Oryzias latipes: one gene and its partner. The protein of the gene in region 1 binds, or shares a complex with, the protein of each later gene. Links are inferred from orthologs where the notes say so. Each region holds a gene or a part of one and is shown on either strand. Other genes may lie near its edges. The genes, in order: nbas and rint1.

Region 1 (3,821 bases):
TTTTGCATTTTTGCATGATTGTGACTTTGGATCAGCATTTTTAAATTTTCAATAGGTTTTTTAGGGCACATCATTGCCGTCATTAAGATAAAAGGACAAACAAGATATATTTTCCCTTTTATTTTGGTCTGGGAGGGTTATTCCTTCAAATCTTTTCGAATCTCATTCTTTCAGCTTTCATGGGACGTACCTCCAGGCTGAGAAAGCCGCCGTCATGGGCTGCAGCGACTCGCGGTGAGGGCTCAAACCATTCACAGGACTTCCCCAAAAGGTTGCGTAATGTTCTGACCGATGAGACAGTGACTGATCCAGAGCAGCGAGCAAGAATCAACACGCCGTCACTCCACCAATTCACATCCACCAGTGGGTAGTACTGCTCCTTATCTGGGGTGGGTATGAGAAGACATAAATCCAGAGGAAACATCTCCTTTGTCCTGTCATACCCGAGTTTCAAATTTATAATCCTCCTCTCTTATTTTGGAAGATTTCTTATCTGAACCAGAATTTTTTTGATTGGTTTCTCCCTCCTTGACATATTTATAGATGTTGAAATCTCTTGTCATGCTTGAGTTGAGGACACAAACATGGATTATTGCTTGCAAAAGCTGTCAAAACTGTCATTCCTACTGGCCCAAAACTGTCAAAGTTTACATTCAACTACAAAAAATCCCAGCGAACCCCACCATACAAAGTCTGCACACCCTAAAAACTGTGTAATGCAGCGAATCCCATGTGTCAAAGATCATTCAATTGTATCCAAAGTGCAATGCTGTATCAGCAACAAAGATGGCTTCTTTTAGCCCTTTAGGCCCAAATACCTTTTATTTTCTTCCTTCTCTCCAGTGATGTCTTCCACTCTGGGTTGATCTCTTCAAATCCCGGCTGCAGGGAGGACCAAAAGATGGAGGCACCAAAGAGATGGAGGAGGTGTAGAGGGGGTGAGAAATTAATCTGCTAACCCTGTTTACTCTTACAGCGCACACAAGCTCTGGCAGCAGTGAAGCAGAACATACACACACCCCGCATTAGTCGGCAAAAACATCCTGCGAATATAAGCTTTTCCATAAGCCTCCTCGCTTTTGGTGTCAGGGAAGCGAGAAATGCATGAAATTCTCTAAAACGTACACACTTCCACCTCAACTAGAGAGATTACACTAAATAAAGCTAGTTAAGCAACTTGTTTATAACATATATGCAGAAAAGCGAACAAAGGATATTTTCCTTTTTTCTTTTTAAACATCCACTCAGATGAAAATTGTGCTTTTGGTGTTTTTAACATTTTTTGGGGCATAATTTCTGATGATGGAGCAAATCAAGCTCACAATTGCCTCCCTGAGTTTTTCCTTTCTATAAATTGTCGACAATCAGGAGCAGATAAAAAAAGTTACATTTGAAAAATAATATATTTGTTACACAGAAAGTACGCCGGGCAGGCCACAAGCTCCCTGCTCCGCTCAATTCTGATGCATCCACTTGTAGAAAACTAGATCCATGTACATCTTTATTTTTCTAGTCTGAGCTGGAATCTGGATCAAAGCTGTACGGCTGGATAGCTCCACTATTGCCCTCCATTTTCGTGGTTACTGTTAGGTTGAGGGGTTAAAGCTCTGTGAGCTATTGTGAGAGTGCACACAGATAGCTCACTTATAGGTGATGGGAAGGGAGGGTGGGGTTGGTCAGTCCCACCCACAACTCAGAGGTGAATTTCTAATTAACTTCTGCCACTCTGCAAAAACTATGTCCTAGAAAACAACACAGGATTTGGGGATTTTGTCTAAAAACAGCATATTCTAAATTAAAAGACCACAGGGAACAATTTTAAAAGAGATATAGAGATGATGGAATTGGGACTTAAAGCAAAACTATGAGTGCCTTAGGGAGCCACGCAGTTTAAAAGCGGTTAAGATGTGTACCTGTTGGTCCTGTTTCCATGACGCCCTCTGTTTGAAAGAGGGGATGTCCCAGACAGACAGGCGTCCAGAGAAGTGGATGACAGCCAGCAGGCGGCCGTCAGGGCTCAAACTCATACGAAACACGCCGTCCTGAGCAACAAACACAACAGTCAGGGGCCTGGAGGATTCTCACAGGGAGGAGAGCACTCTCATACCTTTTCATCTCCCTGTCTGGGAAAGAATCTAAAGCTGGGAATCCTGAGGAGGCCTTTCTTCTGGTTCTGACACAAAAAATGTGTGTATTAGGACACAACATTAGGGCATTTGTGAAAATGTCTGTGTGTGGAAGCCTGACCAGGCGGACATCGTCCTCATAGCTGGTGACCTGCTTGTAGTGCGGTGAACTGGAGAGAGCCCTCCAGGCCGTGAGGCCGCTGCGAGTGGCCTTGGAGGCGCCGTCCTCTCCTGATTCACAGCCCCCCACCAGCAGCAACCTGCAAAAAGACATGTGGCGTGACCAGCAATAACGGCTTCACAACAAGAACTAAAAACCGAAACAAAGGTTTAAGGTCAAAGTTCGAGTAAAAATTATCATTATTGGGATGCTTTGTAGCAAAGCAATGCTTGCTAATATTTGAGTAAAACTCTTGTGAGAAAACATGAAACTCAGTTTAAAAAAAAAAAGAAAAGAGTTGTTTTCTTAACCTGTTTAGCTCAACAGTGCCCCCTAGTGCAGAAATTCTGAGTATTTAATTTCAGATCTGTGGAATTATTTAATGAACAAACATTTCTGAGACATATTCTGTAAATTAAACATACAGTGGATCTTATACGACACATTTATTTTATAGCCTGTGAATTTTTACTTAAAAATATTCACTTCAATTTGTTTTTTTAATATTCCTAAAGCACATTTATCTGAATGTTATGCAAAAAAGGAAAGCGTGCACATCTTCTAGTGTGTTTTTAAAGTACCATGCTTCATATCAGGGGTTTCCACCTTTACTTCTCCACATCCCTCCGTTCTCTTTGATGTTGACCCAGTTTTCACACAGGAGTCATTAATGTTTCATCTCATCTATCATTTGGCAAACATTGACAGTAGCTGCCAAACCTCATTAGGCTGCCGAGCCAGGTTTTACCGGCCAAAGCAAACCCGGTTTGTGCAGAGTGGGGACTCTGGTGAAAACAGCACGGCCATAACTGCGAGCCAGAAATAATGAAGCAAACCCAATGAATACAATGTGGTGAAACAGGCCAAGGGCATTCGGCGCTGCTGCAGTCAATTCCTACAGGTATTACATTAAAGAGATTGCTTCATTTATTCCTGAGTAAGCTTCTTGGCCTCATTGGACAGTGCAAAAAGCCTTCTGCAGGAGTCTGTGTGAGAAACCTCACATGTTCTTTATCTCAGTTCCAACATGATAAATGTAGCTCAATCCCAATTTCCCTCTCACTCTCCTCAAAAACAGCAGTTTTTTCTGGTCGGTAACACCTGATCCTTTAACAGTTTATGCTTTAGGCTGCATTAAAACCACTAGAAGTTCTCATGAGGTTAACTTACATTTAGCGCCAACGCTGAAATCGACATAAAACAGAGCAAATCGACAGCGCTCTCAGTTGTCAAAATGATGAAAGAGAAGGAAATTTGTGAAATAATTATTTAAATGTTGAGCACAATTCCTAACACGCCGTCGTCTCCGGACTGGTTCAGGGTGAAAACTGATTTCAAGACTTGTAAAGCTTTCTGCAGATGTCCAGATAGAAATATTTGAAGAACGATCAAGTCTAACAGAAACACTGTTGAGTCTGTGGGACAACAGCTGCAGACAGAGACAGTCAAGAAAAGGCCAGAGGGCCCTAAAAGAGGGCCCCTAATCAACCCACACTAATAATCCTCTAATCGGAATATTGAAAGTAGCAGGAGTG
Region 2 (3,627 bases), on another chromosome or scaffold:
TGATTTGATGCTTTTTCTTCAAATATTGCAGCAAATAAATCTTGGTTTTTCTAAATGGATATAATGCTGATTATAATCATTGTAGTTCCACTTTTGTGTAGTTTTAAACTCTAAAACACTTTTTTTAAAGGAAAAACTGGTTTGGAAATGAAACGATTAAAACAGATTAAAGTAAAAGCAAAAAGACAAATTTCACTATTTCAATTCAGATTCAGTTTAAAAACGTTTACTTTAATTTTTTTATTTCTATTTTGAAATCAGTTTTGTTTCACTATAAAAAACAAAAAAAGAATATTAAAATGATCAATTCTTACTTTAAAAATAACAAAATAAAGGAAATCACATTTTCTCAAATCAGTATTCCAACTTTTAGTTCAAATGCATTTCAGTCATTGAATCCTGGTGAACCTAAAACACTGAAATCACTTCCCCAAACAAGCTCCGCCTTACCTGTGCAGGACAGACAGACAGACAGACAGGTGTGACCTGTGCTTTCAGTGGCTGTGGAGAAGATGGACGCCATGCTGTCCACTGACGGAGCGTGGAGCTCTCAGTACAAAGACATCAGTGACATGGACGAGCTGAAGGCTCCGGACTGCGCTGAGACCTTCATGACGCTGCTGCAGGTCATCACAGGTGAGAACCCTGCTTATGTTTTGGTAGCTTTCACTTCTCTGAAGACTCCACCAACAGAGACCCCCGCTGTTCTGCAGAGCGGTACCGGGCCCTGCCCTCCCCGTCTGCGCAGCTCAAGTTCCTGGAGCTTCAGAAGGAGCTGGTTGATGACTTCCGAATCCGACTGACACAGGTGAGACCGTCCCTCTGTCTACTCCAGACTTTAAAGTCCCACTCCCATCATCTTTTGATCTAGTGGTCTTTTATTTATGATTATGCCGTGTTTCAAATAAAGAAATACTCAGACAGGCCTTTTTATCTTAATTCTCCATACATATGTCCTCCATCATGAGAAAAATGCTACATGAACATGTTAAAAACCCAATTTTTAACTTTTTTCTACTTTTTTGACAGTTCGGAAAAAAACCTCTTTTTGCTTGAAGGCGACCCACCACAGCCAAATCTTTATATGAATGGATCCATATCCAAATCAGGAACTTGTTATTTGATAATTAGCTTGTGATTTAAAAGACAATCACAGTCCTGTGCAGGAACTTCACACCTGAGGTGGTGGAGTTTATGAGTTGAAGAGAAATCTGAGAAATGTTTGGTTTGAGCAAGGTTCAAAGTATTTAACGCAGTAATGTGAAGGAAATGGAAGAAAGCTCAGGAGTCCGTCATGTGAGGTGGATTAGTGGTCCTGGCTGCCCGGATTCTCCAAGCAGATTGAAAAAAGCGCAAACATTAGAAGGAAGCATTTGTGGTCAGTTATTTCACCACTTATGCTATGTTCACACTGCGTGTTCTTGCGACCACTTCCAATGAAAAGTCACGTGTAGCTACACTAGTTTTTTAAGTCAGTTTTGGGGCTCTACGTACAAATCAATCAGGGACTCTGATTTGGTAGTGATGTATAGATGACGTCTTTTTCAAAACACATACGAAAATCGATCATGAAGGAGAAATAAATGATAGTGTAATGTCTCCGACTGCAATTCTGTGACACCAAGTCTTTCATATATCGGAATAGAGCTGTAAAAGACAAAATAATGAAGCTAGATTCACCAGATTTGCACCTCTTTGACACTTTGCACCAAGCCTCTTCCATCTAGTATCGTGTAGTGACAGTTCATTGTGAACAGCGTATGCTAAAAGTGTGTTCAAGAACCTACGTTCGGCGCATGCTTGAACATCACATGTCGGGGTGTAAGTAGCATTAGAGCTGCAGAAAGGTTTTTATCTTCAGTAATTTACCTGTGTCTACGGTCTGCTATGAACACAACATGCTCGTTTTTTTTTTTAAGGTTTGAGTCCCTACCTTTTCTTGTTTTTCAGGTCATGAAAGAGGAGTCTCGATGTCCACTCGGTGTCCGTTATTGTGCCATCCTTAATGCCGTTAACTACATTTCCACCATCCTGAGAGACTGGGCAGACGACGTGGTTGGTGTTTTATTGAAAAACTCAATATAACTGATACTTTGCCTCTGAGATAACTTCTTCAGGTCGACTTGAAACACCAAGAATTTACAGGAAAGCAAATAGGAAACAAAGCAACACGCTAGAAAAAACAGCAAAAACAACAGGATTTTTATTTGTAATAAACAAGTTAAAATAAATAGTTATAAGGGGAAAATTAGCCAACAGAACAAAAGCCATGTTTATGTTTATTCTTGGTTGTAAAGTATTAGATTAGTACACAGCACCAATGATTTCCAATTCTATGAATTTCACAAGGGGAACATTAATTTAGAACAAGCTGCACATCTGTGCACCGGTTCATCCCGGACGAGCCCCCAATTCTTCTGCAGAGGACTCAGACTTTTCTCAAATCTGGGGCCACGAACGACTGGCACCGCTATATGAATTCAGAATTTGTAGCATGCAATCACACCTTGTATGTCCATCAGTTGATTAGCCTGCCACACTACAGGAATGATGGTAAAACTGTGCTGATACTGCATGTCGGCTGTCTGTGAATCCGGATTTTATCTCTTTGGGTTTTGTCACTGCCCTTTCAGCCGTGCATCTCTTCCTCCACCAGTTTTTCCTGCAGCTGCAGCAGGCGGCGGTGTCGCTGGGTGAGGACGAGGTCCTGGGGGGCCGCAGCATGATGGAAGTGGGTCGCCTGGCTTCTTTGGAGGGATCTCTTTTTGATGGACTCCTGGCTTTGCTGGACCGCTTGAAAGGAGACATGCTGGGAAGACTGCTGGATTTCCTCATGAGAGAAATCTCAGAAAAAGCCAAACCCTATTGTCAGGAAAGGTGAGACCTCTCCCCACTGATGACCTCTGAGGCGGAAACAGGGGTTCACCCCACGGCAGGGCCAGCCAGGACATGCTTGAACGTCTGGTCTCTGACCTGCTGGTTTCTCTGGCAAAAGGCTTAAAATCCCTTTTATTTCAGTTAATTCAAAAATGATTACCCCACATCTCAGGATCCAAAAAGCCTTTTTACTGTGCAGATTGCTGCAGTTTACAGAAGACCACCAAGGTCTGAAGTCCGTGAACATGTGCTCTGACTTTTACCCTGTCCGTCCTTCAGGTGGTTGTCTCTTCCATCCCAGCAAGATCAGTCCATCATGTCCCTGTCGGGCTCGGCCTGTCCCATGATGCTCTGTGTGCGGGACAGACTGCTGAACCTTCATCAGGTTCTGAGTCTTCCTCTGTTCCAGCTGGCGTGGCAGGGCCTGGCAGAGAGGCTTGACCATTTCCTCTACCAAGATGTAAGACGTGAACGCCCTCAGATGCCTGCGCTGGTCAGGATGGGGGGGGCTAACAGGACAACAAAGATGGGAGCATTGACAAAAGTTTATGTGGAATTGATCTGAGAAGGAAACAAAGCAATGAATCTGTTTACTAAAGACATATGGGCTGTGAAATGAGCATTTAATCCAAGGGGGGGGGGGGCATAAAATAACCTAGATAATAAGCATAGGTTTATGAAGCCATGTTTTTTTTTAACCCTATCAAAAGCAGAATGCTTCTTCAACATTAAATGAAACACTGACCTGCA

What was found.
Region 2: nbas (region 1) and rint1 share a complex: the UniProt entries of both Homo sapiens proteins name them as parts of the NRZ complex. The link is inferred for Oryzias latipes from reciprocal best matches to the Homo sapiens genes NBAS and RINT1.

Annotation. Positions count from the first base shown.
Region 1 is NC_019882.2:14,745,810-14,749,630, forward strand, and holds part of nbas (neuroblastoma-amplified sequence), read right to left. Parts: intron 2,387-3,821; coding exon 2,248-2,386; intron 2,174-2,247; coding exon 2,108-2,173; intron 2,043-2,107; coding exon 1,914-2,042; intron 883-1,913; coding exon 819-882; intron 385-818; coding exon 191-384; intron 1-190. UniProt on the Homo sapiens protein: Involved in Golgi-to-endoplasmic reticulum (ER) retrograde transport; the function is proposed to depend on its association in the NRZ complex which is believed to play a role in SNARE assembly at the ER. Required for normal embryonic development.
Region 2 is NC_019881.2:11,299,152-11,302,778, forward strand, and holds part of rint1 (RAD50-interacting protein 1), read left to right. Parts: intron 1-498; coding exon 499-636; intron 637-713; coding exon 714-808; intron 809-1,950; coding exon 1,951-2,055; intron 2,056-2,656; coding exon 2,657-2,877; intron 2,878-3,156; coding exon 3,157-3,337; intron 3,338-3,627. UniProt on the Homo sapiens protein: Involved in regulation of membrane traffic between the Golgi and the endoplasmic reticulum (ER); the function is proposed to depend on its association in the NRZ complex which is believed to play a role in SNARE assembly at the ER.